Rattus norvegicus: one gene and its partners. The protein of the gene in region 1 interacts with the protein of each later gene in a pairwise test. Links are inferred from orthologs where the notes say so. Each region holds a gene or a part of one and is shown in the gene's direction. Other genes may lie near its edges. The genes, in order: Ddit3, Cebpg, Batf, Hsd17b14, Dbp, Fosl2 and Tnfsf12.

Evidence for each region.
Region 2: the proteins of Ddit3 (region 1) and Cebpg interact in binary tests that used the Homo sapiens proteins (3 or more experiments, as listed by UniProt). The link is inferred for Rattus norvegicus from reciprocal best matches to the Homo sapiens genes DDIT3 and CEBPG.
Region 3: the proteins of Ddit3 (region 1) and Batf interact in binary tests that used the Homo sapiens proteins (3 or more experiments, as listed by UniProt). The link is inferred for Rattus norvegicus from reciprocal best matches to the Homo sapiens genes DDIT3 and BATF.
Region 4: the proteins of Ddit3 (region 1) and Hsd17b14 interact in binary tests that used the Homo sapiens proteins (3 or more experiments, as listed by UniProt). The two-hybrid records come from large-scale screens. The link is inferred for Rattus norvegicus from reciprocal best matches to the Homo sapiens genes DDIT3 and HSD17B14.
Region 5: the proteins of Ddit3 (region 1) and Dbp interact in binary tests that used the Homo sapiens proteins (3 or more experiments, as listed by UniProt). The link is inferred for Rattus norvegicus from reciprocal best matches to the Homo sapiens genes DDIT3 and DBP.
Region 6: the proteins of Ddit3 (region 1) and Fosl2 interact in binary tests that used the Homo sapiens proteins (3 or more experiments, as listed by UniProt). The two-hybrid records come from large-scale screens. The link is inferred for Rattus norvegicus from reciprocal best matches to the Homo sapiens genes DDIT3 and FOSL2.
Region 7: the proteins of Ddit3 (region 1) and Tnfsf12 interact in binary tests that used the Homo sapiens proteins (3 or more experiments, as listed by UniProt). The two-hybrid records come from large-scale screens. The link is inferred for Rattus norvegicus from reciprocal best matches to the Homo sapiens genes DDIT3 and TNFSF12.

Annotation. Positions count from the first base shown.
Region 1 is NC_086025.1:65,000,424-65,004,494, forward strand, and holds the start of Ddit3 (DNA damage-inducible transcript 3 protein), read left to right. Parts: upstream 1-1,271; 5' UTR 1,272-1,306; coding exon of another isoform or gene 1,307-1,369; intron 1,370-3,864; coding exon of another isoform or gene 3,865-3,906; 5' UTR 3,907-3,912; intron 3,913-4,071. Other genes in the region: uncharacterized LOC128125814 homolog, read left to right, coding at 1,307-1,369, 3,865-3,906. UniProt on the Homo sapiens protein: Multifunctional transcription factor in endoplasmic reticulum (ER) stress response. Plays an essential role in the response to a wide variety of cell stresses and induces cell cycle arrest and apoptosis in response to ER stress.
Region 2 is NC_086019.1:96,826,937-96,831,110, reverse strand, and holds the start of Cebpg (CCAAT/enhancer-binding protein gamma), read left to right. Parts: upstream 1-1,374; 5' UTR 1,375-1,533; intron 1,534-1,566; exon of another isoform or gene 1,567-2,266; intron 2,267-4,174. UniProt on the Homo sapiens protein: Transcription factor that binds to the promoter and the enhancer regions of target genes. Binds to the enhancer element PRE-I (positive regulatory element-I) of the IL-4 gene. Binds to the promoter and the enhancer of the immunoglobulin heavy chain.
Region 3 is NC_086024.1:111,083,402-111,087,516, forward strand, and holds the start of Batf (basic leucine zipper transcriptional factor ATF-like), read left to right. Parts: upstream 1-1,315; 5' UTR 1,316-1,550; coding exon 1,551-1,613; intron 1,614-3,857; coding exon 3,858-3,962; intron 3,963-4,115. UniProt on the Homo sapiens protein: AP-1 family transcription factor that controls the differentiation of lineage-specific cells in the immune system: specifically mediates the differentiation of T-helper 17 cells (Th17), follicular T-helper cells (TfH), CD8(+) dendritic cells and class-switch recombination (CSR) in B-cells.
Region 4 is NC_086019.1:105,164,236-105,168,494, forward strand, and holds the start of Hsd17b14 (17-beta-hydroxysteroid dehydrogenase 14), read left to right. Parts: upstream 1-1,459; 5' UTR 1,460-1,525; coding exon 1,526-1,613; exon of another isoform or gene 1,614-2,409; coding exon 2,410-2,448; intron 2,449-2,565; coding exon 2,566-2,648; intron 2,649-3,576; coding exon 3,577-3,643; intron 3,644-4,259. Other genes in the region: Plekha4 (pleckstrin homology domain-containing family A member 4), read left to right, coding at 1-40, 390-502, 602-864. UniProt on the Homo sapiens protein: Catalyzes the NAD(+)-dependent oxidation of L-fucose, yielding L-fucono-1,5-lactone, which rapidly converts spontaneously to L-fucone-1,4-lactone. Can also act on D-arabinose and L-galactose, with lower catalytic efficiency. Does not use NADPH.
Region 5 is NC_086019.1:105,310,973-105,315,055, forward strand, and holds the start of Dbp (D site-binding protein), read left to right. Parts: upstream 1-1,283; 5' UTR 1,284-1,684; coding exon 1,685-1,823; intron 1,824-2,665; coding exon 2,666-3,076; intron 3,077-3,096; exon of another isoform or gene 3,097-3,774; intron 3,775-3,892; exon of another isoform or gene 3,893-4,036; intron 4,037-4,083. Other genes in the region: Car11 (carbonic anhydrase-related protein 11), read left to right, coding at 551-576. UniProt on the Homo sapiens protein: This transcriptional activator recognizes and binds to the sequence 5'-RTTAYGTAAY-3' found in the promoter of genes such as albumin, CYP2A4 and CYP2A5. It is not essential for circadian rhythm generation, but modulates important clock output genes.
Region 6 is NC_086024.1:30,036,470-30,040,679, reverse strand, and holds the start of Fosl2 (fos-related antigen 2), read left to right. Parts: upstream 1-1,410; 5' UTR 1,411-1,472; coding exon 1,473-1,574; intron 1,575-4,210.
Region 7 is NC_086028.1:54,902,116-54,905,514, reverse strand, and holds the end of Tnfsf12 (tumor necrosis factor ligand superfamily member 12), read left to right. Parts: intron 1-1,868; coding exon 1,869-1,993; intron 1,994-2,152; coding exon 2,153-2,404; 3' UTR 2,405-2,899; downstream 2,900-3,399. UniProt on the Homo sapiens protein: Binds to FN14 and possibly also to TNRFSF12/APO3. Weak inducer of apoptosis in some cell types. Mediates NF-kappa-B activation. Promotes angiogenesis and the proliferation of endothelial cells. Also involved in induction of inflammatory cytokines.

The DNA of each region.
Region 1 (4,071 bases):
AAGGAGCAGTCTGGCCAAGGACCTGTCACTGTCGCACCATCCAATAGCAACCGGTCTTGGTTCAGTTTCTACTTAGACAAACTCTGGCTTGCCCCTCCCGAGTGTACGACAGACTATGTAATAGGCCACCACATGGCCTCTGTTTTCATGGCACAAAAAATAGGTTTTGCAAGATGTTTTTACTTTTACTCAAGTTTTCTTCACAGTGCTGTTTTTACCTTTACCTATCATTCTTTAATTTACAACTGAGTACGGTAGATTCCTTGGGCAAATTAAACTAGAATGACCCAGTCCAGGCAATCATGCGCTCAAGTGCATGCACGTCCCAGTCTCTAGGTCGTGAACCCAGACACCTAGAGGCATGAGGCCAGCTAATCAGCAGGGAGTCACAGGACTTGCTATCTTGGAGAAGGAAAAGGGTGGGTATTGGGCTTAGTGAAGGGCATAAGAGCATCACACAAAGCAGGGGTAGGATAAGTAGGCAGGAGGCTACACTCTACAAAGAACTTGAATTCTGGCACGCAGTGGACGATTCTGAAACAAACGTTAAAGCTGCCCTTCTGAGAGAAGCGGATGGACTACCAAGGAAATGCCAGTACCTCAGTCTTTGGGAAGCGTTAGAAGGCTAAAAGAGGAGGAGGTCTCTTAAAAGACTCCAGAAGATGTCAATCCAGGTGAACAAATTGGAAACTTTAAAGAGGTTCAAGAGCCTCGGTGCCCATTAGTTGGGAGGGGCCAGGGAAAATGAGTCTTTTATGGAGGAGTAAGTTAAAGGTGATGGGAGGTGGGCAGACAAGTTCAGGAAGGACAGCCGTTGGGGCCGTTGGACACTGTGAGCTGGCGCTCCGCCTTCTTTCCTCTCTCCCCCATCCCCCCCTCCCGCCCGCTCCCCAGCACCTCCCACCACCATCGACGTCTCCTGCGCGTGCGCGCGCGGACACCGGTTGCCAAACATTGCATCATCCCCGCTCCCCCTCCGCCCCCCCCACGTCATCCCCTCCCTCGCCGCACTCTCCTCCGCGCGCGCGCATGACTCACTCACCTCCTCTGCGAAGCCTCGTGACCCAAAGCCACTTCCGGGTCCGAGATAACGTAGACTCTCGAGCCAGAGGGCGCGATGGAGGCGGGGCCACGGGACTCCTGAGTGGCGGACGTGAGGGGTGAGGCGGAGCCTGTGCCAGCGTGCCGCTTTCTGATTGGTAGGCTCCTGGACACTACCCCCCCCCAGGAGGGACCGAATAGCATAAAAGATACTCGCTCTCCGCTCCAGAGGTCAGTATCTTGAGTCTAATACGTCGATCATACCATGTTGAAGATGAGCGGGTGGCAGCGACAGAGCCAAAATAACAGCCGGAACCTGAGGAGAGAGGCGAGTACTGACTCCGTCTACCCCTTACTTTCCCATCCTCGCCAACATAGCTATTCCACAAAGTTAGAGGCAACTGTCCTTGAGGGTGTAGCCCCACCCCTTCCACTGTGAGTTTGTAGACTGAGGGGCGAGTGAAGGCGGGTAATTCCTGATTCGGGAATGGTGCTTACAGGCCACCTCTTTGGGCGATTGCATTCCCGTTCCCTTGTCTCAGGTTGGTCCCTGCTCTGCAAAGGGACTCCGGTTGCCTTCGGAAATTTGTCTCAGTACTGACCATTTGCGGGCCATCTTAGGCCTAGGCGGTTCGCAGGAAAGGTGGGGCAACAGGACACACCCCCCAATGTTGGGGACTCCGGCTGTTAGCACCTCTTCTCCACCAGCCTCATTCCCCCCAACTCTTTCAAGCTGAAGCGCCTCAGGGACCACCAACATGGCCACTTTAGTAGCTGTCTCTAACGTTCAAGACAACTCAAAGACTGACAGATCTTTGCGAGTGGGGGTGCCGGTGGGAGGAGCATAGATGGGTTTTTCCCTTTTCCCCAGAGGTTTCTGGGTTTCCGTACAAGAGAGCAGCCTGGGTCTCTTTAACTATGGGAAATTACTTGGGATCTCTCCAGGGTCTTCTGCTTCTCTTAGGACTGATCTCTGCTTCTTTCCTCAGTCCTGTCTCCCAACTAATCTCTGTAACCGTTGCATCAGGCCAGCCCACTGTTTGTCTCTGCACCCTCAGGCCTGGGGCTCCTCTGCTGATGAAAGCCAGGTCCCACACACTGGAAGACCAAGGAGTTTTCCCTAGAGGACAACCCTGCAGAGAAACACTCAGGGCAATATTGCGTCTGCAGTCCCCAGAGACAGGCAGCTCAGCTCTGCCTTTGGGCTCAGTGGGCTTAGTTGTTCTCTATTCGTTCCTAACAAATGCCTAATAAGCACCCACTATGTGCCAAGCATTTGGGGATCCAGGGTATATTAGAAGCAAAAGACGAAACTGTTCTCAATAAAACTTACATTTCAATGTAAAGCAAAAGGGGGGAAAAACAGAAGCAGGGAAAAAATAGTTCAGGATGGTGGCTAGAGGTTTTATCATTCAGGAATTGCCTCAGTGGGTGGGTGAGATGGAAAGAAGGCAAGCCTGTGAGCCAAGCAGGTAATGTGGAAGAGGTTTATAGAAGGGAGAGAAGGAGCAGAAGGGTTGAGATGAGTGTGCCAGTATCCTTAGGAGCAGGGCAGTGAGCTGGACTAGAGTAAGCAGGAGAGGGTGGTGAATGGAAACTCAAGTAGCAGGTCCTGTAGAGCCTTGCAAGCATTCTCAGGATGCTAGTCTTTCAACAGTCCTGAAACAGGAATCCATTGGGGGATCTGAGCAGAGGAATGTCCTAAATTAAAAGGGTTGGGGAAAGACCCCATGCATTTAATTCCAACACTCAAAGAGGTAGGAGCAGGCAGAGCTCTGAGCTCCAGGCCAGCATAGTCAGATCCTAACTCAAAATAAATACAAAAACAAAGGGTTGAGTGTGTAGCTCAATAGTAGACTGCTTGCCTAGTATGTAGAGGGCCCTAGGTCAACCCGCAGCCATGAAAATAAAAAAGACAAGAATAGAAACAGGAGATCTTAGCTGGAAATAATGGCAAATGCCTTTAACCCCAGCACTTGAAAGGTAGGTAGATCAGAGTTCAAAGCCAGCTAGTCTACAAAGTAAGTTCCAGGACAGCAAAAGCTACACAGCAAGACCCTGTCTAAAAAAAAAAAAAAAAAAAAAAAAAAAAAGATTTCAAGGCTTCCAAAAATAATCTAGGGAATGAAATGCATAATGCATGGTAAGTTTACATCTGGAAATAATGAGAAAAAGTGAGAAATATTTAGGTTTTGGGTACTTCTAAAGAATATTGAAGTTGCCAGTGCTTTAGACTGAGCTGTGGTATCTGAGAAGGGAGGAATTAAGGATACCAAATGTTTGGCTTTAGGCACCTATAGTTGCCATTTAGTAAGAACTGTACCCCCTTGGTAGGAAAGGCCTTTTGTGTAAGCTGAATGCCTGCTCAACAACCAAAAGAGATGGAGATCCCAGGGCAGGTCTGGAGGCTAGGATGGGAATGGAGTTTAAGCAAATACTGCTGAAATCTCTCTTCCCTGTATTTTAGTTCTCACTTTGGCAGATCTGAGGTCTATCTGGATTTAGAGAAAACTTAGTTGGCCAGGACTTTGCTATTATGTAATCAGGACTACAAATGTCAGCAACTAAAAATAAAGTTAAGCATGCCTGTCCTTGGCTTCAGGGACACACACACACACACACACACACACACACACACACACACACACACACACGAGCCTCTCTGTGGCCTGGTCTACAGAGTTGAGTTCCAGAATTCCAGGATGCCCCGGGCTTCACAGAGAAACTGTCTCAAAATCCAATGACAGAAATTAAGAAACCAGCTAGAGAAAGACCAGTAAGAGGCTAGAGGTAAAGGACCTGTTTCTTCCCCTTTCTCCACAGTGTTCCAGAAGGAAGTGCATCTTCATACACCACCACACCTGAAAGCAGGTAATCTTAGCCACCCTCCCAGTCAGCTCCTAATGCTGCTCAACTTGCTTTGCTGGGATGAGAGTTAGACCAGGCCTTGACCAGAACCAGCTTTTGCTGTCAGACCATGTCTTTCTCTGATCCCATAATGTTGTTTTAGAGCTGGCTTGTCTCAAAGTC
Region 2 (4,174 bases), on another chromosome or scaffold:
GGGACAGCAAGTTCGTCTTCTTCATTGCTGACTCCTAGTCCACACCACATAGCTGGTCCATGTTTGTAAACAGCAAAAGAATCACAGGCTATCAATTAAAGAGGAAATCTCAAGACCCCTGGGCATTGACTGCTGGCTGTGGGAGGCTTGCCAAGAACCAACACAGAATGCAGCTGTCAGGGAGGGTAGCTGGCAAAAAGAGAGTCTACCTCAATGTACATATGACATACAAGGATATTTTTATTTTCTATAGTTTTTATATGATTAGAAAATATTAGGGATAAGATCATGATTATTTTGTGAGAAACAAAGCACAGTTCATCTTTGATAGTGCTAAGAGTCATGAAAAAAAAAATGGCTCTTAACACAGCGATCCAAACCTAAAGAAACATACTGGTTTTGAGACAGCTCCCCAAATGTGCATAGGGTTATCAGGAGTCATTCTCTGTGTTTGCCTGTTTTTTGTTTTTTGTTTTTTGTTTTTTTGTTTTTTTTGTTTTTTTCTTTTTTTGTAGGTATTCTCATCTCTCAGGGATTCCTGGAAGTCTTAAGTGGAGAGCTGCTCTCCTGGCCTTGGCGCGGATGAAGAAACATTTCTTTTTGAAAGCCAGTGAGTTTTGAATGATAAGCATTGCTAAAGAGGAAGCAATCAAACCTATCTCTCAGGCTCTGCCCTCCACCCAGCACGCTGCTTCCTGTACTTCAAAAAACAAAAACAAACAAACAAACAAACAAAACCCAACAAAACCAGCTTTTTGATTCTTTTGTGAACTGTTTGGGAGAACCAGGCTGGACTGCTTGTCACTTTTAAGACAGCACCTCAGGTCCATCATCCGCTCTCACAGAGACGAGCACACTTTGGAAATCGTGATTTGTCTGAGAGCCACAGTCTACTGTTCTCAAGAGTGTGACAAGTGCTAACCCTAGCACTGGACAGTTTTTCCTTAACGTGCTTTTGTCAAAATGAAGTTTGCAGACGCCCTAGGGCCGCGAGGCCTAAACAAAACAAAAAAAATCAAAATCACTAACTCAAAAATCCACCCGAGGAAATGCCATTTCCCTAAGGCAGGTGAGACTCTCATTACTATGACAGAACTTTTCTCGCTACCGGTCACTCCCATCGCTCAGGGCCGCCGCCCGCCACCACGGACAGCCTAAGGGGGAAACCGCGGAGCGCGCCTCCAGCCAGCGCCGGTGCTACCACGCCCACCACGCCCGCTCCGCCGTAAGTCCGCCTCTTGCTGCCACCCTGGCTGTGATTGGCTGGTGGAGCTGCCGGTCTTGAGAAGCGAGCGCGTCGTTCTCCGAGCAGCGCTTCTATTGGTCACGGCTGCGGCGGCAGCGCGCGGACCCGAAGAGGAGGGGAAAGCCGGTGGCCGCGGTGGCGGAACGGGCGGAGGCTGCCGGTTTCGTAACCGTCGCTCCTCCTCGCCGACTCGCAGGCTGCGAGGCCTGGGTAGGGTCGGACCGCGCCGCGCGGGGCCGCTCGGAGTGGAGGCCGTCTGGGGGCGGGCGGGCCGGCCGGAGGCGCAGGTAAGGAGGCCGCGGGTTCTAGCTCGGAGGGGTTGGGGGAGGAGGCCGCAGCGGAGCCCGCCGCTCGCGTAGGCACCGGCCGGGCTCGAGGAGACCCGGCCCTGCCGGATTCAGCAGGTTGGCCCGGAAGGCCCCCGGCGGCTTGGCGGCGCGGGCGGGGACCGGGAGCGGCGTCTGATGCAACCTGCGGGCAACACCCGGCGGGGCTGAGCTCATCCCTGGCCGCGGCCCAGCGCCGCCGCGCAGGGCGCCGACCCCCGCGCTCCCCCAGGCGCCCCCTCACCACAGTCGGGGAAGGGATGGAGTACCAGGTGGCCCCTCCAGAACCTGCTCCCCGGCGACGTGCAGCGTGACAAGCCTGGCGCGCATTGGCCCCTGGGAATGGAGAGTGTTTCTAGAATAGAAGATGGACCGAATCTTACTTTGGAGCCACCTAGGACTCTTCTGTCGCTTCCCAAACGGCTCGGTCTGGGGGAGGAGGGCCCGGGTCCTATTTGGAGTTAATAACCTAGTGGTCATCTAGGGAAGGCACTTGATTTTTTAAACACTTAGCGCTGCAAGAGGGAGATTTCGTTTGTTTTTTGGGACGCGGCCGCGTGTCTTGTAGTTCATTGGGAGGGGAAGGACATCCTAGATAGCGCACCGGTTCACTAGACGCAGAAGGTCAAGCCATGAAGCCTTTCCTTAGCTCGCCTGGAGGGAACTCGGGAAAAGAGCCAGCAGACGAATACAGGTGGAGAAGTTGGGCGGCGTGCGTGAGGATTGTTTCTCTTTCTAAGTGCGCTTGTGTATTTCTGGTCTTAAGAAGGCTGGCATGCTTAGATTTGCTCTGCTCTTTGTTGTATTTTGTTTGTTTCTTTGTAAGCCGCCTCATAAGATGTATCAAATTTAGAAAGGTTTTAACCTTTGTGAGTTGCACAACAGCTGGGGCCTGTGTCTCTGGAGTTTCCACCCGCTTGAATCCTTACTTGAATATATTATCATTGAATGCATACCTGTCTCACAGAGGAAATTTTGAAATAAAGCACCCCGTCTTTACTGAGAAATTCAACATAGAAGAATTCAGAGCATGGTAGGCAAGCCACTCTACCTCTGAGCCGCATCCCTAGCCTTCAGAGCGCTCTAAGGTCCGTTCAGCTGTTGTCATTTGAGTAGTATTAATAAGCTATCCCTGCGGTTCTTACCTGTTCCTGAAAAACTGTAGATAATGGCAGGACGCTACTGAGCTGAAGAAATACTTGAGTCTGTTTCCTGAGTCCGATGGGCATGCCCGACTGACTCAGTTATTTTTATGACCTATCAGAAACAAATAGGTGGGAGCAGACTTCCCTCCCCCTCCCCCAATATCCTTTAAATTCTCACACCACGTCATGATTGCCAGCCAGCTCTGTGATCTTGGAGAGGTCCTTTCATCCCTAGCGAATTAAATGCTCCCTAGGAAAGTCCCTGGGAGCATTCCCTTCTGAGATCATGGGAAGACACACAGGACCTGGTTGACAGTTGCCACAGTCACAATAATGAGTACTGTAGCAATTTTAGGTTTCCCTCAGAGGGGTGGTTGCATAGGTTCTTACACTAGCAAGTTTATTGGTCCTCTCTCTAGTCCATTGCTGTGCCCTGCCATTAAAGAGAGGGAAAAAAGTGAACAGGAACTCCTAATAAATATAGTTATAAACAATGTATTTTTGAATGTGCTAAATAGTACTATAAATAGATGTAAAGGATAACATCCAAACAAGCTTATGTTTTCTTCACAACTCCAGTGGACCACTTACACTGAACTCCTTGAAGGAGTCTCCTCTCCTTCATGGACTCTGCCTCCTACAGTCTCCAGGGAGCTGGGATTGCCAAAGAGACTGGGGGAGCAGATTGAACAAAAGGCACAAAGAGAAAACAGAGACCATTTAGAATGCTTTAGGGAGCAGAACTTGTAGAGAGGGTTAGGATCTTGGCTTTGATCCTGTAGTCACAGACATTGATTTTTAGTAGCAAGATGTGACATTGTTAGGTTTGAATGGAAGACTGCTTGACTTGCAGGTACCAAACTCTTTGAGGTCAAATGACTGATCCTTTTATAGGGGTCACCTAAGACCATCCGAAAACAGATATTTATATCATGATTCATAACCATAGCAAAATTACAGCTATGTAGTAGCAACGAAAATAACTATGGCTGGGGGTTGCCACAGCATGAAGAACCTGTATTAAAGGGTCAAAACATCAAGAAGGTTAACTATTGCTCTAGATAATCTAGATAGTGGGTGCTTGGAGGGAGCTCAGGCTGCTACACCAGAGGCTAGGGCTCCTGGGAGATGATGTCAACCTGAGGTAATTTCTGTGGCATTAGGAACGACAAGAGATGTGGGATATTTTTGTTTGTAAACCTGAAGACTCAACCTTCATTAAGGAAATTGAGTGAAGATTTGATTTTGGGGGGCTAATGGAGGGATACATGGTTCTATCTAGGTTTATGGAAAAAAGTGACAAGCTAGGGAAGTTCTGTACAGGTTTATTGTTCCAAGTAAAAATTTAGACAAGTTCTATTTTACTATTCTAACATTCCAGAGTTTCATTGTTTTATTCTTTTGAATGAACATTATTACTTTAGTTAATAAATTTGCATTTGAAGAAAGTTTTACTC
Region 3 (4,115 bases), on another chromosome or scaffold:
TAAGTTTGTCCTTAGAACCATATTGCTGTCAGGCGGAATTTCAGTCAGTGGATACTAAAACTTTAATTAGTGGATAATAAAATGCTTTAGGAGCTATAACATATTGTCAGTCCTCAGGTTAAACAAGGAACATTTGAGCCATACTGAGAATGTAGTGAGAGCTTTTATCTTAATATGTGTGAGTGTTTGGCCTGCACATCGAATGTGTGCCTGGTACCTGAGGAGGCAGGAAGAGGGAGAAGGGTCCCCTGGAACTGGAGAGACAGATGGTTGTGAGCCACTGTGTGGATGCTGGGGACAGAACCGATATCCTCTGAAGGAGCAGCCAGCACTACTAACTGCTGAACATCTTTCCAGGGCCCAGACTTTTTTTTTTTAATTAGCCAAAAGACCCAGATGAAAATAGGATTGTTCACTAAAATCACAAGCATGTTCCTGTCATGGGACACATGGCAAGCACGACCATCTCCACAGGCAGCATGCTTCACAGGGTGGGGGACATTGCTATTCCAATTGTCACCCTCTCGTTGCAGTAACTGAGAGATAGTAGGCAGGTGTGGGGTATGGGTGAGGGTGGGAAGTAGGAATAGGGGTCGGGTGGGCTCTCATCATGGCCGATCTCACTCCAAGTCCAGAGCCTCCGTCACTCATTTTGACATTTTCTCCTCGTTGGGTTCTGACCTCATTGACTCCTGAATACTCAAGGTCAACCTTGAACTCTTGAAAGAGCCTCTCCACAGAAGGTATCTTTTCTCTAGAGAGAATGGGAGTGTCCTGCTAAGTAGACGGGGGATAAATAGTAAACTTCTCTAGCGTCCATTCGAGACTCAGTAGCTCCAACTATCTGTTTGGCCGGCTGTAAAAGGGAGTGCCCTCCTTGCTTTTGTCCCCAGACCACCGCACAGTCCTGTAGGTGAATGAGGAAAGTCAGCCTAAATCAGGGTGGGCAGCGGCTTCGGGTGAAACCCAGAAACGGTTCCCAGGCTCCTTACTGTTATTTAAGTTTTAAAATCAAGGCCTGTGACCTGGAGGCTCTTTCCTGCCGCTCTCTGCCATGTTGACAGCAGAGAACTTGCTAATTCTGGCTGGGGATTTTCCCTAACTGGCTGTTTTTCCTCCTTTACCTTCATCGAATGAAGAGCACTAGCTCTGCTCTCAAACTGCCGGAAGATACTGGGGGTTTGTGTATCTTTTTTTTTCTTTCACCTACTTCTATGGTCTTTTCCCAGATGTGTATTTTCTAGCTACCTTCTTACTTGTTGACGTTTCCGCCCATGTGACTTCCAGCTTGAATTACCAGAAACCACAAGAGAGGGCCTGTGCGCAAGCCCCAAAGTGAGCGAGATGTCCCTGTGGGGAGCAGTCCCTCTGCACCCCAGAGAGAGGAGGACGCAGGGGTCTATCGGAGATAGCTGCAGGACGAGCAGGGGAGGCACCTGTGGAAGGTGGTACGCTGCTGGCCCCCTGGCAGTCAAGAAGGGGAGCTTGCTAGTGAGAAGATCGCCCAGAGGCATCTGGGACAGTGTGGGAGAGTCCGGAAGATTACAACCATGCCTCACAGCTCCGACAGCAGCGACTCCAGCTTCAGCCGCTCTCCTCCCCCCGGCAAGCAGGTATTACTCCCCCACGTCCCCCATGCGCTGTCTTCTGATTTTCCCGGGGTGGTAGAAAAGGGGCAGTCTACTCTCAGCTCAGGGAGCTCTGGCCGGGGAAGGAAGTAGCTCGTGGCAAGAGCTTTCTAGCGGACTCTGGACTTGTGGTGTTTGCTATACAGAGGTTCAAGTGGTGAAGCCTTCGCATCCTGCCACAAAAGTCCCCCTTTCCAAGCGGTACCCCTCATCTCTGCCACTTAGGTTCCCACCTTGAAACTTTCTAGGAAGCTGGGGGCAGGGTGACTATCACAGAGCCTAGAAGTATGGTCAACCGTAAGCAGAGGGATGTTCCAGTAGATCGCTGCCGTGAGCTCCACCCAAATCCTAGAACTTTCCAGAAAGAGCCAAGCGGCAAGACAGGACCGAAGTCAGGAAGAAAGAATAGAGTAAACCAAAGCGAGGAAGACAGGAAAAGAGCGGCAAGATCTGCCCGCAGACTGCCTCTGTAACTAGAGCAGCCAGTGGGGAGGGAGGCTAAAGCTACAACTTGTATCTGTTTCCCCCTGTGGCTTCCAGATAGAAGAAAGAAGCCCATGGACCAGAAGACGCGCTGGAGACCTTCACCAGTAGCTCATATCGGTTACTGAAAATCCGGGGATGGAGGGAAAGATTCTGAGACTCTTACACTCTTGATTGATACCAAGTCTCAGTTTGAGAGATGCCTCTGTTGGGATGCCCGTCCCACCTTGCACTTTCTGGGTCTCTCTTCCACATTCTTGATACTTCTTGCCCTAGAAATTTCTCCTCTTCATCCAGCCTAGACCCATGGATTAAACTTTGTTTTACACCTCAGCTTAAAAACTACATTCTTTCTTTAGCACACATATCGGGAGGGGCTATAGCTCGGAGGTAGAGTGCTAGCCTTACACACATCCAGGGAGCTGCAGAATGCTACAAATAAAATAACTGTATATACTATCTGACCACCTGCTTTCACATCTGTCACAAGCCCCTCACCAAAAGCCATACTGGTGAAGACCTCAAGAAGGAGACAGTCAGTCTCTCGCTCACAGTAGTATCAGGGCAACCCAGGCTGCCTGGAAGATGGTACCCTAGTCTTCTTAAGAAGGAAATTACTTACAGCTGCCATGGTAACCTAGTCCCTTGGCGAATTATATAGAAAGAGTGCATCCTTGCTCTCTCTAACTCAATGTCGGCCTGCTAGAATGACCTGGAAAGTTTGAGTAAAGAGGGAAGGCAGTCAGAGCCTGACCCAAGGATCTTTGCCTCTCAGACCAGTGGAGGTGACAGGGTAGGGGATGCAGAAGGGCTTCTCTTCCCTCATCTTCAAAGGATATACTTAGAGAGCACCCAAAGAGTATTGTGTCCTCCAAGGCACCTATTGGTGGCCCAAAAAGCAGGTGACCTGCACTTCATAAATTGATTTTTTGGTACCTCATTTGTAGTAAGCATCATGTTAAGAACTAGGGAGATCTCAAGATGGTTGTACAAGGAACGAATGAATAAAAGAAAGAGAGGTGCCTTCTGCCTAAGGGTGTATCACAGTGAAATTAATAGTCAGGAGGGAATTCTCAGATGGGATTTAGAAACAGCACCAGAACATGTCATACCCCTGGATGGCATGAGCTCAGTCTGTTCTGTGTAAAACAGAAAAGATGGCAGCCGCTCAGGGAGCTGGGGGATTGTATCGCAGTGCCTCTGAAAGCGCCCGTACAGAAGTCGGCACATGGCAGATGCTCAGCAAAGTTTCCAAAGAAAATAGCAAAAGGAACATCAAGAAGATCCTAGTGCATGCACACATGTGTGCATATACACACACACACACACCTCACATGCACACACATATACACACATGTACACACACTCACACCCCCCCCCCACACACACAGAGTAAGGCTAAAGCAGGTCTGGAGAGAGTAGAAGTGATTGGGGTAGACCTTGTTGTCTTAACTGGTGTTCCCCAAAGCAGCACTTCTGAGGCCTCAGTTTCTCTTCACCTTCCAGTAGCTTTTGGTCAAAAGAAGGCCACGGGAGACCCAAGGGCGGGTAGCAGGGAAAGCTGAAGAAAATGTCTTTGGATGGTACAGAAAGAACTGAGGACTAGGAAGGCAGGCAGGCAGGCAGGCAGGCAGGCAGGCAGGCAGGAAGGAAGGAAGGAAGGAAGGAAGGAAGGAAGGAAGGAAGGAAGGAGTTTTGACTAGAAGAGGAATGATCGGACCTACCCTTGTTACCTCTGCTTCCTAGGACTCATCCGATGATGTGAGGAAAGTTCAGAGGAGAGAGAAGAACCGCATTGCTGCCCAGAAGAGCCGACAGAGACAGACACAGAAGGCCGACACCCTTCACCTGGTGAGTACCCACACTTCCTACCACACTCCTACCCTTAGGTTCTGTTTCCCTCACCGGCAGGGCCGTGGGGCCCAGCTTTGATGAGTCTGCTGTCGTGGGGAGAGTAAAGAGGGCAAGGGCTGCATGGGGTCGGGTGTGGGGAAAGGCTTCCCT
Region 4 (4,259 bases), on another chromosome or scaffold:
GAGCTGCGAAATGGCTCAGGAGTTCCGGGTCATGGAGTAGGTATGGATCTAGAGTGGGAGCTGCAATGGGGTGGGGGGGTCAATTCTTGATGCAGACAGGGGAGCAGTGGTGTTATTATAGTTTCCTGTGTACCAAACAAGTCCCCAGAACTTCTGAGTCCCTTGAGTTCCCGAGGTAACTACAAAAAAGCCAGGAAGCCCCTGGTGGTGGGTCAGAGACTGCAGAGCTCTTGTGGCCTGAATCAGATCCAGCTGTTCATCCAGTAATGGTGACCTCCCTGCTGGTCTACTGGTAACAAAGCCTGTGCTTAACGTCCTCTAGATAAAAGCTAGGAAGAACTCCCCGGGAGCCTCGGTGGCCTGTTTGACACGTGGCTTATTTTCTGTAGTCCTAGGCACTCCACAACCTACTCACCCGTGTCTGGAGGCCACCGGGAACGAGTGCTCAGCCTCTCCCAAGCTCTTGCTACAGAGGCTTCCCAGTGGCACAGGCTGATGACAGGTGAGGTGCCCAGGCTCTGAACCCCCGCATCTGAGGAAGGAGGCCTGGAAGTTTGGACTTTACACGTTTAAGTTAACACTTTTCTCATTCTCCGTTTAGCCTCTCCAGAGAGAAATTTGGACACCAGGGGAGACTGTCTCCAGCCAAGTCCACAGCCTCCCAGTGAAGAGCTGCCCCAGGTCACCTCGTCCCCAACTTCTCACAAGGCTAACTCGGCTACCACAGGGTTCTCATGCCAAGGGAGTGGGAGAGGCCTGGCTCCGTGGGAGCCCAGGTGGGACCCTGGGAAGGCCCCTCCAGCTCTGGCCCAGGAAGAGGGGGCATGGCCCCTGAGAGTCACTCTGCTGCAGTCCAGCTTTTGACTCCTGCCTTTGCACTGGGTGCTAAAGGCTGGAAGCACAACCTTGAGGTGTGGGACCATTCAGGACCACAGGGGAGAGGTTCATTTCAGCCTGTGTTCTAGGAGGGCCGGGGCTATGATGGTCAAAGATTGATTATCCCAACACTGTCCGAACTTGGATTAAAACTTTGAACTAGTCAATAAATAGCTTTATTCTCTCTGTGGTTGTGACATTGTGTTCTGACAAACAAGCGTCAGGGCCTTGGATTCACAGGACATTGGGGGGCTACATCTTAAAATATGGGTCTGAGGGAGGAGGTTGGAGTCTGGATCCTGAGTCAAGGCAGAAGTGGTGCTGGTCTTACAAGTCAAAGGGAGCAGGGCTAGAGTCAGTCTGAGGGGGCAGAGCTGGGGTGGGGGTCCCTGAGCCTGGAAGAGGAGTGTCAGGATGGGGATCCCTGGGTCTGAAGGAGGATCATCACGGGTGGGGACCCTGGGTCTGAGAAAGAGGGCTAGGAAGGAGAGTCCTCAGTTCTCCTAGGTGTGCCTTCCTGGGAACTCCCCCTGCCAGGGTCAGCCTTCAGTGACCCAGCCTGTATATCTGGTTCCACTCCCCCGCTTCTCTGGACTTTAAAGGTGGGAAGAGGCCCAGAGGGTGTGGGACACGAGCGAGATAGCTGGGAATGGCTGCAGTAGGCCGATATTCTGGGAAGGTGGTGGTGGTGACTGGGGGCAGTCGGGGCATCGGGGCTGCGATCGTGAGAGCCTTCGGTGAGTAAGGGTCTTCCCGCCTGCTGCCTGAATTGTAGGAGAGAAAGAGCGGCTGGCAGAGGCTCCCACAGTGGGAGGAGGAGACTCAGGTTCATTTCTTTAATGATTTGTTTGTTTTTAATTTTCTCTGTGCGTTGTCGTTGTACCTGGGTGAGGTTGTCAGATCCCTCCTAACCGGAGTTATAAACAGTTGTGAGCTGCCATGTGGACGGTGGGAACTGAACCTGTGTCCTTTGGAAAAGCAGCCAGTGCTCTTAACCGCTGAGCCATTTCTCTGGTCCCTCCGTTTCATTCTTACATGAATCCATTTGGATTGTTGGGTCTTTGTTGATAGGTCGGTCATTAAAAGTTCTTCCACTGGCCTGGCAGTGGTGGTATATGCCTACAATCCCAGCACTTGGGAGGCAGAGGCAGGTGGATCTCTGAGTTTGAGGCCAGCCAGGAGAGTGAGTTCCAGGACAGCCAGGGCTACACAGAGCAACTCTATCTCAAAAATCCAAAAAAAAAAAAAAAAAAAAAAAAAAGTTCTTCCCCAGATGGGTCCCTAGCTGCAAATGATAGCTTTGTGTGTTTTATTGTTTGTAGGTTTTGGATTTTTCTAGAATCCAGGATGGGGGCCAAGCAGTGGCTTAATGAGGAAGGGTAATTTGTTGCTCTTGTGAGTGGAGACAATCTTGTGAGAGAGACAATCACGAGAGCCGCCAGAGAGGCAGGTGCTCTGGTGGCCACAAGAGGGCAGCAGAGGCAGTGACGCAAGTCTGCAGGGCAGGTAACATCGTTCTCTTTCTGTTGGCAGTGGACAGTGGGGCTCAAGTGGTTTTCTGTGACAAGGATGGTGAGTGAATCAGTGTTCATCTCTCCCTTGCCTCATCAATGATCTCTGCATAGCTCTCCTCCCTCAGACCCACATTCCTAAGCCTCCTCCCTCGGACCCAGAATCTTTCTCTTGCAGAGGCTGGGGGCCGGGCTGTGGAGCAGGAACTCTTGGGCACTGTCTTCATCCCCGGTGACGTGACTCAGGAAGGAGATTTACAGGTCAGTGTTTTCTGTCCCACACTCCATCGCCAGTCCCTCTGGGTATCCATGCCCTTGTCACCTCCGTCCTTCTGCCCTCTTCTCTCTCAGGTCTTTAGGAATGATCAGGACTTGAACTCTTGGCTCCTGTAACAAGTTTCTGACTTCCTGGCACTCAGAATCTCTTATGTGTTTCCAGGTCTAGCTCCTATCTGGGCCTCTGTCTTTCTTTGTCTCTCTGCTCCCCACTGCACTCGGGTCTGTAGACTCTCCTTCTGAGGCTCTGTCTTCTGCACACACACCCCTCCGAAGTCTTCTAAAATGGTGTGCTGGTTAGTGTTAAATCGACTGGACACAAGCTAGAGTCATTGGGAAGAGGGAATCTCACTAGAAAATGGCCCCACCAAATTGGCATGTGGGCAAGCCTGTTGGTCACTTAATTAATTAGTGGTTGATGTGGGAGTTTCCCCAGCTCCCTGGGGGTTGTGACATTGCAGGGCAGGTGGTCCTGGATAGTCTAAGAAAAGGGGCTGGACGAGGCATGGGAACAAGCCAGCGAACAGTGTTCGTCCACAGCCTCTGCTTCAGTCCCAGCCTTGAGCTTCTGCTCTGAGTCCCTGTCCTGGCTTCCCTCAGTGATAGATATGACCTGGGAGCTGTAGGCAGACATTAATCATCTCCTCTCCAGGTTGCTTTTGGTCATGGTGCTTATCACAGCAATAGGAACGCTGTGACAAGTGGCAACTGTGCTGTGTGGATCAGTCCTTTTAGTCTGGGTCCTCGACTTCCTGCATCCTCCTCTCTTTCTAGACCTATTCTGTGGCCCTGGTCCCCTTCCACCTCACCCTACCCTGTCTTCCTTAGCTGAGCCCATCCTTGCCTTGGGCCTCCTGGCTTTTCCAAGGCTGTCACCTCTCAGCTCATCACCTGCTCTTTCTTCTCTCCTCAGACTCTGATTTCTGAGACTGTCTCTCGATTTGGTCACCTGGATTGTGTGGTGAATAATGCCGGCTACCGTAAGTTGTGTGGTTTGGAGGCCAGTGTCCCTGACATCTACTTATACCCTCTTCCCCATTCCTCTCTTAAAAATTATTGCCCTATCTATCTATCTATCTATCTATCTATCTATCTATCTATTATCTATCTATTATTTATCTATCTGTCTATCTATTATCTATCTGTCTATCGATGTGCATGTGTGTAAGCGTGTGCTTGCACAAGCACTCGCACTCTCATGCACAGTAAGTACTTCTCTGGTGTTCAGTGCAACAAGAGGGAATCAGTTCTCTCCTTCGGCCATGTGGGATTGAGTTCAGGTTATCAGGCTTGGCACAAGTGTAAAGGTACAGTTGAGCCATTTCAACAGCCCAATCCTTCCTCTGAACCTCAGTTTACCCCTTCCTCAGGACACATAGCCCTCTGCCTCCCGCGTGCGCGCACATGTGTGTGTGTGTGTGTGTGTGTGTGTGTTTACACTTGCATGTATGTCTGTTCTCCCCTTGCATGACTGGTGCCCACAGAGACCAGAAGGAGTTGGATCCCCTGCAACTGGAGTTACAGGCAGTTCTGAGCCACCATGTGGGTGCTGGGAGTTGAACCTAGTTCTCTGGACCAGCAGCCATGCTCTAAACC
Region 5 (4,083 bases), on another chromosome or scaffold:
GTGTGACATGCCCCTCGTACTTTCTCACCTCTCAGTATGAAACAGTAGTGCAGCCCACCCCTCTTCGCAGCTTAGTGCTAAGGCCTGACACCCTCTGATTTCCTTGTGGTACAATTACATACTGGTCCATGCCCTCTGCAATATTGTCACTTTCCAAGATGGTACGGTCCAAGTCACCTGCTTACAAATGGTATGACCCTACTTAAGGGCTATAGTCTTGACAACTATCCCCTTTCTGAGAATCAGTGTGGTACAATCCCTCTGTCTTCCTGAAGGTGGTTGTGCCCTGGGGAAATCTGTTGGCCTCTTGTCTGGTTTCTCAACATGGTACGGCTCAAATGACCATATCCCCTTCCTGTATTACTACCCTTATGCAAACCAGCCTAATCTGCACGTCCCACGTGGCCTTCTTCCCTCTCTATATGGTCCGGTCCAGGAGCTGACCATTTTCACCAACTTGGTATATTCCATTCCCCCTTAGCAGCCTGACTGTAGTACAGCCCTATGCGCTCAACTCCCACACCCCTCAAGCCGGTGCTTTCTTTTGCAGTGGATGGTGGTCCTCATGGTCGCTGAGACTCCCCAACGAGGATTACGCCCGCCTGTTCTGAGTTTCCTCACCAGGGGAGGGGAATTCACCCCAAAACAAAGCTATTAAAGGGACTGAATGTTTCCAGTTTCTCGGTGGTTTGATTATCAGCTGCGATTGAGAAATATCTAGATATTAAAAAATAATCCTTCCCGAAGCCCAGGTCTTTCTGCCTTAACCTGCTCTAATTGGTGTTAAGCTTTTTTCCTCAAACAATGAGTCTGTGAACACGCGGCTCCTTTAAGGGGCACCCCTCTTGCCCAACACCCGCATCCGGTAGCACGCGCAGAGCCATGTGCTTCCCCCTTCTTCCTGTCTCATTGGCTCGAAGTGGGTCACGGTCCCGCCTCCAGCGCCTCATCCCATTGGCCATATGTAGGTCAGTGTCCCGCCTTCTTCCAAAGGCGAGGCAATTCCACAAGTTCAGCCCCTCACGCGCCTCCAGGGCCTTGGCAGATCCCTTAATTTCATTGGCTGAGCGTCTCAAGGGCTCGAGAAACGATTGGCTTTTGCTAGCAGCCGGAGGGAGGCACGCGGCTGGGGTGCATGGCCCAAGAGAAGGGAGGGGGCCCGGAGGAGGGGCGCGCGCTCTGGCGTCGGGTGTTTTGGTTTGGATTTTTTTTTTTTCCGCGAAAGAAGTTTGCTTTGGCCACGCCTCAAGGCTGCCGCCTCCTCCTGCCCCCTCCTCCGTCCCTGGGTGCACACCTCTGGGTGCAGATTGCAAAGCTCCTTTCTTTGCGAGAAGTGCAAAATTGGCTAGAGCCAGAGTCTCGCCCACCTGGTACAGAAGGAGCGCGCGCCTGTGTCCCTTGGGGACCCACAGTTGCAAAGAGACAGCTGCTTGATTTGGTCACCCACTCGCCCAGACTATAGGAGCCTCCCGGGACACTCTTGAGTTGCACCTTTCTGCAGAGCAGACTGTTTGAGCCCCCGCAGTGCTCGTAGGATTTGAAGCGTTCTGATACTGGAGGCTTGCTCGCCGCGCTCGCCCGACTCTGGGACACATTCGTCCGAGCCACAGGAGTGTGCGGGTGACTGACATATCATCTCTTCGACTCTCCATGAGCTCATGAACCTGGGAGCAGGTGCCCGGAAATGGCGCGGCCTCTGAGCGACAGGACCCCGGGCCCCCTGCTGCTGGGTGGCCCGGCTGGGGCCCCCCCTGGCGGGGGAGCGCTGCTTGGGCTGAGGAGCCTTCTGCAGGGAAACAGCAAGCCCAAAGAACCGGCCAGCTGTGAGTTCTAGTCCCACTGTGTTAGAGACTCTACTGTTGGGGTGGTGGTATACGGCACCTATCAGCTAGGTGTCCCATCTTTGCTAGTCTTTATTTGGTCACTTAGATCTTCCAGTCCCTCAGGGTCCAGGACCAAATATGACGCTTGGAGGGCCTAAGAGTCAAGTCCCGGAGTGTTCCTCCATGAGGACAGAGTTTAGGTGCCAGACCCCTCTTTCTTCCCTTTGGCCTCCGAATCTGGACCCCTGGAGTCCTAGGGGAAGGGAGGGGGTGTGTCGGATGCTCACACGGTGCAGACACGGGCTTGGGCGGGGCCTCACAGGGTCACATGGAAAGTAAGGGTGAGGAATGTGCCTGAGCAATGGAGCCCCTTCCAGCGCTAACAGATTGTGGGGGAGGGGATGAGGATACTGGGGGTGGGGGAATTACTGAGCTGTCACTTTTTTTCTCTCTCACCTGCCCAACCTTTCACCCACCTTGTCACTAAACCCTTCTTTCTAAACTTCCATCCTCGCTCTCTGGGTCGCTTTCTTGTATCCCTTAATCCCCTCCCGGGTCTCTAACCCTATCCTTCTGTATACTTTTGTATTTTACCCCTCTCTGGGTCCCCGTCTTCCTGACCGTCTCTATTGCTGGGGCCTTCTTCCTCTTCTCTCTCTGGGTCTCCCCAAGCCCCATCTTCATCCCTGTCTTCTTTTTCTGTGTTTTCTCCCTGCCTGTACCCGCCTCCCTGGGTCTTTACCCTACGTCTCCCGTCTCACTTCTCTGTATCTCCGCCATATCTCTGACTTGGGGTCCCTCCTGTGTCCCTCCACCCCATCCGGTCTCTCCCTGGCCTACAGGTCTCCTGAAGGAAAAGGAGCGCAAGGCAACTCTGCCCTCAGCCCCCGTCCCGGGACCCGTCCTGGAAACGGCGGGCCCAGCGGATGCCCCAACTGGGGCGGTTAGTGGCGGTGGGTCCCCTCGGGGGCGCTCAGGGCCTGTGGCTGGCCCGAGTCTTTTTGCGCCGCTGCTGTGGGAACGCACTTTGCCTTTCGGGGACGTGGAATACGTGGACCTGGACGCCTTCTTGCTGGAGCACGGGCTACCGCCGAGCCCGCCGCCCCCCGGGGGCCTGTCGCCGGCACCCTCTCCAGCGCGCACTCCCGCGCCCTCCCCCGGGCCCGGCTCTTGCAGCTCCTCTTCCCCCCGCTCCTCGCCCGGGCACGCCCCCGCGCGGGCCACTCTGGGAGCCGCCGGCGGCCACCGCGCAGGTGCGGCGAAGGGGCGGGGCTGGCGGGCAGGGAGGGGCCTCGCGACACTTTTGGAAGTCTGCCCAATGAGATGCTGCGATCCTTTAGGGGACTTGGGTCCCCAAATGCGAGAGGATTATTCAGTGAGAGGATATATTTTTCTCTAATACAAAAGTTTCCTCATTTTCCTGGAGCCAAGACTAGAAACTCAGAACACCTTAGTTAACTGGAAAGTACTAACTCCAGAGTCTGGGTCCAGAATTTTGGGAAACCAGATAGGACTGGACTTCAAGGACACCTAAAATGGGAGCGAGCAGGCCAGAGCGGGGTACTAGGTTCCCGGATTCTGCCCCCCACCCCCAAGTGGAGGGTGTTGCATCCTGCCTCCCAGAGTCTTGCAGCAGAGAATGTCGGGATCCCGATTCTGGATTCTCCAGAGGAGCTCCCCATATTCCTGCGTTGGGGACCTAGGATCTCAGAACTGTGGGAATCTGGATGGCCAAGAGCTTGACAGGCCGGTTCTACCACGATCCGCCCCCCCCCCCCCAATAGCGCGGGGTGGGTGGGTAGAATCATTGTAGCTGTTGGAGCTGAGACCAAAAGGAACAAGAAGGGAGGCGATCCCTATCAAGACAAGGAGTCTCGATGTGGGACGCCTGGGTACACCTGTCCCTGATCCGACCTCCAGGCAAAACCAGTGCTGCACATTCCCTCGCCACGTGAGTCCTCCCTCCTTACTGCGCGCACGCGCTCTCACGCGCGAGGAGGCGGGGGCCCGGGAACGTGCGGGTGCTTGGTGGGGAGGAGGGGAAAGGGGAAGCTGTAGGCCACACGTGACGCGGCCCTGAACTGGTGTCCTCGGCTGGCCCTGTCTTTTTTGTTCTTAAAGACACAGGAGTCAACCTTTTTTAGCCAAGCTCCTGGAACCTCCATCACTCTTAGCAGTGAGTCTAACAAGTCTAAGCTCAGAGCAAGGATTCAGTAAGTAGGACTCAGACAAGGCAGTGGGAACAAAAATAACGCTGAAT
Region 6 (4,210 bases), on another chromosome or scaffold:
CGGTGGCGCCGCACTGAGCCGCCCGTCTGGTCTTCAGGCTGCGATTTTTTTTTTTTTTTTCTAAAACCCAGAGCCCAGGCCCGCGCGGCCGCTTTCGGGGCCCCGCCCCGCGCCCCTTCCTTTTGGGGTGGAGGTTGGGGGGGGAGGTAGGGAGGCCAGAGCGCACTCAGGAGCAGGCGAGGGAATCCCTCTCCCTCCACGTCACCCGAATGCGAGGAAACCCGCACTCGCGTCCTCTAACGCAAATGACCATCTTTGGCAACGTGCGCCAATGGAACAGACCAAGGGCGCTGCGCCCCAGGGGGGTGGAGGAGATCTGCAAGAACGCGGGCGGCTTCGGCGCCCCCGTAGTGCGGGGGCCGCCCGCTCCCACCCTCCCCGCCGCCCGCCTTCCTTGCGCGGGGTGTGCGGCTGGCGTCAGCGCGACCGCGAGCAGGGCCGGGAGGGGAGCGCCGCGCCCGCCTCCTCCCCTCCCGCTCCTCTTCCTCCTCCTCCTTGTCCCGGGCCTCCTCCCCCGCCGCCTCGAGCGCTCCTCCCAGCAAGGTGGAGTCTACAGTTGACGTGAGTGGATCCACATGGTGCGGGGCTGGAGAATAAAGAGTGTGGAGTTGAACTCGTGCCATTGTAGTGACTCATCTCGGGCAGAGCGCAGGGGCTCGGAGAGAGACAGCGAGCGGCGCTCGGCAGGGACAGAGAGAGAGAGCGCGCAAGAAAGAGGGGGAGAGAGAGGGGAGGGCGAAGCGAGGCGAGACGCGTGAGACTGGCCGGTCCCAGAGCAGGCACCGGGTGCAGGTCACTGCGACGCGGAGCCACGTCCCTCTCAGCACCGCTCAGCCTGGAACCCCACGGGCGCTGTCCCACCGGCGCGATCGGGGCCGCTGGACCGGCGCTCATCGCCTTGTCCTAAGTCAAGTGTCCGAGTCGCCGGGAAACTCAGGCGGCGAGTTGGCCACAGGAAGTTTATTCTTGGGCTCCTTTTCTAAAAGGAGGAAACAGAAGTTTCTCCCAACCGGCAGCTTTTCTTTTTCGCCCTTTTGGCGCCCTGGGAGATCGGAGAGGGAGTCCCCCAGAGCTGCCAAGCGACACCCGCAGAGCTCCTAGTCTTTTTTGCGTTGCCCATTTTTCTCCAACCCGTAGGTCCGGGCAGAGCTCGGGCTGCGCGCGGGGGCGGAAGGGCGCGCGCAGGGGAGGGACCGAGGGACGCGCCGACTTTTTAGAGGGAGGGACCCGGTGGACAACCGGTTCCGCGGAGCTTGCAGAGCAGAAACGAAGTGCGGTGCGCGGCGATCGGGGGGTCATTTCCCGAGTGTCGCTGCCTCCTGTCTGCCTGGGTTGGGTGGACAGCCCGGGAGCGAAAAGCCCAGTCCGCGGCCGGGCCGGTGGACCAGCGAGCGCGCAGCAAACTGTGCGCGGCCGCGGCGAGGGCGGGGAAGAAAACCACCCTGTTTCCTCTCCGGCCCCCACCGCGGATCATGTACCAGGATTATCCCGGGAACTTTGACACCTCGTCCCGGGGCAGCAGTGGCTCTCCTGCGCACGCCGAGTCCTACTCCAGCGGTGGCGGCGGCCAGCAGGTACGTGCGGGCCGGGGTGCACCTGGCGGCGCGGGCAGACTCCCTCTTCTCGCTCCCAGTGCCTCCACCCCCAACCTCCGTCTTTTCCCTTTCCTCGCTAAGCTAGAAAAATACTTAGGGGTCACCGCTGTAAGTTGTGGGGTTTTGTTCTGTTCCGCCCCTCCCCTCCACTTTTTTTAAACAAGCGGAGAGTGGGCTTGGAGAGCCAACGACACCCTCTCCCCCTTTTCTTACTTAATTTTCCAGAAAAGCTCATGATACTGCAGGTCCCCTCCGGGAAGCCTGTTGCCTCCTTCCGAGCCGCTCTGCCTTCCTTTTCACCTTCCTCTTTCTAGGTAGTGGATAGGCAAGAAAATCTTTGCACCCTCTAAGCCCCTCCCAACCGAAAGGACCCTGCGGGGGAAGGCTTTTTAACCCTTCTTTCTTCTGTTATTCTTCGATCTTAGCTGTTTTCTGAAAAGGCTTGGGGGCTCAGAAACAAGGCTGGGCTCCTTCAAGTGATTGGGAGTGAGGACGAGGGTTGCCTCTGGGAATTAGGTGCGAAGGTCAGTAAGGAAGAAGCTGGCTTTGATTGGCTCTTGACACCTTCTGTGATACCCCCCCTCCAGCTTCCGGTAAGGGTTGGGCAGGAGCCTGTATTTCCCCCGGAGCAGATCCTTGAGGGGCTTGGGGGTACTGGGGCAAAGAAGCTGTCAGAGAGAAGTGGGAGAGAGAGACATCACTTGGGCTCCTGAGTGGTTTTAGAAGTAGAAAAACAACTCTTTTTCTAAAGCAGCCAGACTGGTTTGCACTGAGGGATCTTGCCTGTAATCTATGTCTCTGTAGGTACTGGTGGGGCGGTGGGGGGCCGTGGGGTATCTGACTTGTGTAGCAGGAACCGCATACAAGAACTTGCGAGGGAATTGCATGCACACACAAGGTTCCCTGCCACCTGAAGCCCACCTCAGCCAGCATTGGGAGTTCCTAGACAAGCTGGCTGCAGCATGAGTTACTCCATAAGCCAATGGCTATGGCCTTGACTTTGACCTTTAGAGGTCAGGGGTCTTCCAGGGAGGGGTGAACTGAGCTGAGAAATATAGAAATATGGGTTTCTTTGTAATCTGATGAGAAAGGCATCTCTCAAAGTAATGTCCCATGTCTGAAGAGTCCTTACAAATGGCTTTTCTGTGTGTTCTCTCTACCCGCCCTCCCCCATACCTATTAAGCACCCCCTGTGGATAGCCTGGTCTAAGCGTTGAGGGTGCAGTCAATGAACCCTTACCACTGAGCACAAAATCACATCTCAAAAGTAGTTGCTTATATTTGTGTCCCTGTGCAGTTGGTGTTTTGGGCTGAATCCAAACATCATTCACCAATGGATTTAGAGTCATTTATACCTGTTGTTCCCCTACTTTCCAATCCAATAACCCTACCCCAGGTACCTCTCCTTCCCAATCATCGTAGGAGCCTGGAATTTCTTCTGTTTCTTCCACTAATGAGACCAAGGCAGTGAGCACTGACTGACATAGTACAATCTCCTGGCCTGGATGAAGTCAGACCGGACATCAGTGCCCCTACTGAATAATCTGTGTCACTAGGGCTTTGAGCCCAGGATGTAAGCAGAGGCAATTCCCTGTTTTGGAAGCAAATCAGACAGGAAACCGATGCTCGGATGAAGGAAGAGAGCTCCGTCCAGCCGTGTGTAATGGGGCCTCATTACCCAAGCAAAAAGCAGCTGTTGGCTAATTCCTAGCATGCTGTAACACATGAGGATTTTGCAATTAGCAACAACCAGTGCATGGGATTCTCAGGTCCGGCTGCCCATTCTGCTCAGCGGCAGGAGCAAAAAGTCTTTCAAACCAGAGGCATTGGCCACTTCAGCCAACTCTCAGCCTGGCCTCTCTGCTCCTTGCCCATGTAGTGGGTGGGAGATGGGGAAGGGGAGGAGGGCTTTCTCTTCCCTGCTCTGACTTTCTGCAAAAACAGTTCTGTGGTCCCAATGATAGGCGTCTGCTTTTCTTACTTCCCAACTCCGAGCTACGACGCACCCTGATCTGGGTTCAAGGTAACTTTATTACATGCCAGATTAAGTCTGAAATCAACTCTGCTCCCAGCCGCCTTCTCGGGGACCGGGAAGATTTCCTGGCAGTTAGTGACTGGGCCTTCCTCCTTTATGGTAGCACTGTAGACCAATCATTGTGAGATGTTCCTGGTTTTCCCTGTTCTCCTTGTTTGTGGGGTCCTGTGTCCCCGATATGTTTGCTGCCCGCCACTTCCCCTCTCTGTCTAACTTCATAAGGTCTTGGGAAGCAGACAGCTTTGTTAAGACCTCTGCCTGGTGTACATGGCAGGAACTCGGAACATGAAAAATATTTCCTGCTGTAGCTGTAATCTCAATCTCAAAGGTTAATCGCCGGCAGTTCCATTTTCTTGGAGATAGCTGGATGTCCCTCCCGCTCCTGGAGTTTGCTTCATTGTTGTGATTTTCTTTTTTTTCCCTGGGACAACACCTCCAGATATATGCTGTGCCTTGCTCCTTGGCTGTTACGGTTTCAGGGCCCTGGCATTACGCAATCCAGCCAGTTACACAAACATAGGTCATTTCATAACTTGTTTTCTTCAGCCAGGCCCCCTTCAAATGAAAAACAAAACAAAAC
Region 7 (3,399 bases), on another chromosome or scaffold:
TCATGGACTCAGAGTTCCATGCCTACTACTTCCTTTTCCTTCCTTCCTTCCTCCCTCCCTCCCTCCCTCTCTCTCTCTCTCTCTCTCTCTCTCTCTCTCTCTCTCTCTCTCTCTCTTTCTTGTTTGTTTTGAGACAGGGTGTTTCTGTGTAGCCCTGGCTGCTTTGGAACTTGCTCTGTAGACCAGGCTGGCCTTGAACTCAGAGATCTATCTGTTTCTGACTCCCAAGTGCTGGGGTCAAAGGCATGTATCACCATGCCTGGCTTTCTTTCCAGTTTTCAACTACACTAGTTCTAGGGATTTCTTCTTGTGTGTGTTGTGGTGACAGAATTTAGAGTCCTAGGCGTACTAGCTAAGCACTTTACCACTGAGCTGCACGCCCAGCCCTTTCCCCGGTACAGCTCTGGTAATAGCTCTATTAAGACAGATTTCACATTCCATGCAGTCTGCCCGCCTGTGCAACTCTGTGCTCTTAGTCTGCCGTGACTAAAGTACACTCTAAAGTACAAGCCGTTAATCACCACAAAATATGGCTCTCACCTTTAATCCCAGCATTAGGAGGCAGAGGCAGGTGGAGGTCAGTCTCTGTGAGTTAGAGACTAGCTTGGTCAATATAGTGGACAATCAGAACAGCTAAGACTACAGAGAGAGATCCTATCACAAACAAAACCCCACAAGGCCAAGCCTCATAAAGTGGCACACACCCATAATCTCAGCACTTGCAAGGTAGCATAAGGAATCCAAGTTCATCCTCAACTGCACAGCAAGTTTAAGGCTAGCCTGAGCTACGTGAGACTGTGCCAAAAATAATAGTAATAAAAAGAGAAGAAGAAGCCATGTATCCTTTAGCCATCACACCATAGTCCCATCAGGGCTAGCCTTGGGCAATCACCTGCCCACTTGCTGTCTCTATAAACTACTTTTCCAGGCAGTTCCTGTGCTTGGGAGACTATGGCGCATGGTTCTTTCACTTAGCACAGTATGTTTAAGGCTTGTCCACCTGGTGGCAAGAAACTTCTTTATTCCTTTTATAGCAGAGTGAGGCCCAGTAGATAGGACTGCAGTGTTTGCTCATCTGTTCATTTGCTGATGGGCACTAAATGTTACTTTGTTTTGTTTTGTGACCAGCGTTCTCTGTGTATTCTTGGCTCTTCTGGAACTTGCTCTAAGACCAAGCTGGCCTCAGACTCACAGAGATCTGCTTGCCTCTGCCTCCCAAGTGCTGGGATTAGAGGCGTACACCATTGATGCTACGTATATTCCTATTTGTATAGGAAGTTTTAAACTCATAGCCAGTGAGCCTGTGGCCCGTCACTCATTTTTTTTTTAAATTTATTTATTTATTTTTATGTATGAGTACACTGTTGCTGTCTTCAGACACACCAGAAGAGGGCATTGGATCCTATTAAGATGGTTGTGAGCCACCATGTGGTTGCTGGGAATTGAACTCAGAACCTCTGGAAGAACAGTCAGTGCTTTTAACCTCTGAGCCATCTCTCCAGCCCCCGTCACTCATTTTTAATCGACTCAAATGATGTACACACAAACATGCACATGCATCTTATATGTTCAAGACACAAACCATGTTGATGAGATAGATGTGAAAACCCCAGCCTCTCTCTTACAGCACTGCTCTTCTATCCCCTCAGAAGCCCTGAAGTGCCCTGGTCATATACATTAGGTCTCCTCACACAATACCTTCTAGTCACTTCTTGTACCATAATGGCATGGCTCCACCTATACTCTGGGCCACTGATACCCTTCGGGGTAGGTTGTACCTCACAAATATGTAAACTTGATGGATTCTTAGGGAGTGTGGGGGAGTCTGGTAAAGGGCTTCTACTTATCCCTACACATCCCCTATCCAGGTGTGGATGGGACAGTGAGTGGCTGGGAAGAGACCAAAATCAACAGCTCCAGCCCTCTGCGCTATGACCGCCAGATTGGGGAATTTACGGTCATCAGGGCTGGGCTCTACTACCTGTACTGTCAGGTAAGCCCTGGGCTCCATGGGTAGAGCGATGGCTAAGGGGAGGAAGGCTTGGCAAGGAATGGGTGGGAGTGGGAGAACCTGGGTTTCATGAAGGAAGATGCCTGGATTTCGATGAGGGCAGGCAGAGGTCTGGATTTTGCTGGTTTCTCTCTGCTCCAGGTGCACTTTGATGAGGGGAAGGCAGTCTACCTGAAGCTGGACTTGCTGGTGAATGGTGTGCTGGCCCTGCGCTGCCTGGAAGAATTCTCAGCCACAGCAGCGAGCTCTCCTGGGCCCCAGCTCCGTCTGTGCCAGGTGTCTGGGCTGTTGCCTCTGCGGCCAGGGTCTTCCCTTCGGATCCGTACCCTCCCCTGGGCTCATCTTAAGGCTGCCCCCTTCCTTACCTACTTTGGACTCTTTCAAGTTCACTGAGGGGTCCTGCTCTCCCAGGTTCTTTAAACTTTAACCTAACAGCTCCCAGAGCACCACAGCACCTCCCCACCCCACGCCCACTCCTCCACCCTCTAGCTGTTCCTTGCTCCAGTCCTGTCCTCTCTTCCAAGGCAGCCAGGGCTTGATGACATGTTTTCCATTCCACAGACATATTCCCGTTCTTCTGTAACCTCCCACCCCACCACAGCTGCCCGCCTCACGAGCTCCCAAAGCCCCCACGTACCCGACTACCCCGCCCCAACCCTGGGACCCTGTTTTTACTGACTATGTGCATCAGGCATCAAGATAGGCTGGACCTGGTGGCAGGAAGCCAAAGAACCTGGGACTAGGCCAGAAGTTCCCAAATGTGAGGGGAAAGAGATGGAGACAAGCTCCTCCCTGGATCCCTGTGGATTTTGAAAAGATACTATTTTTATTATTATTGTGACAAAATGTTAAATGGATATTAAAGAGAATAAATCATGATTTCTCTTCTTTGGGGTTCAGTGTAACTGAAGGTTGTGGGAAGGGAATCTTAGGCTTTGGGGAATGGGGACCTGCAAGCCTCCAAGCTGCAGTTTTGAATAGAAATCACAAAGATACCAGAAAAAAAAAAACCATGCAAACAACAACAAAACCACCTGGTCCTCTGCACAAGGCGCTGCAGAAGCAGCCTCATTTTCCTAGCAGCGGACTTCCTCCTGCAGGGGAATCCCTGGCTGGGAGGAGCAGGGTCCTTCCTCTTGGCGGCCTCAGGACATTCAGCAGTTGAGCAGGTGCTGGCACGGGCCTGGCTAGGAGATGGAATGGAGCTAGCCCGGGAAGGGGCTCAGAGCCATAGGAAGGGCTCTGGTGGGCCAGCCGTATGGGTGTGGGGAGGAGTGCTGCGCTGACTGAGGGGCTTGGGGCTTTTTTCTTTTCTCTTTGTCCAGAGAACCTTATGTAAGAACTCTTCTTGGGAAACAGGAAGTCCGGCTTGCCAAGTTCAGCACAGG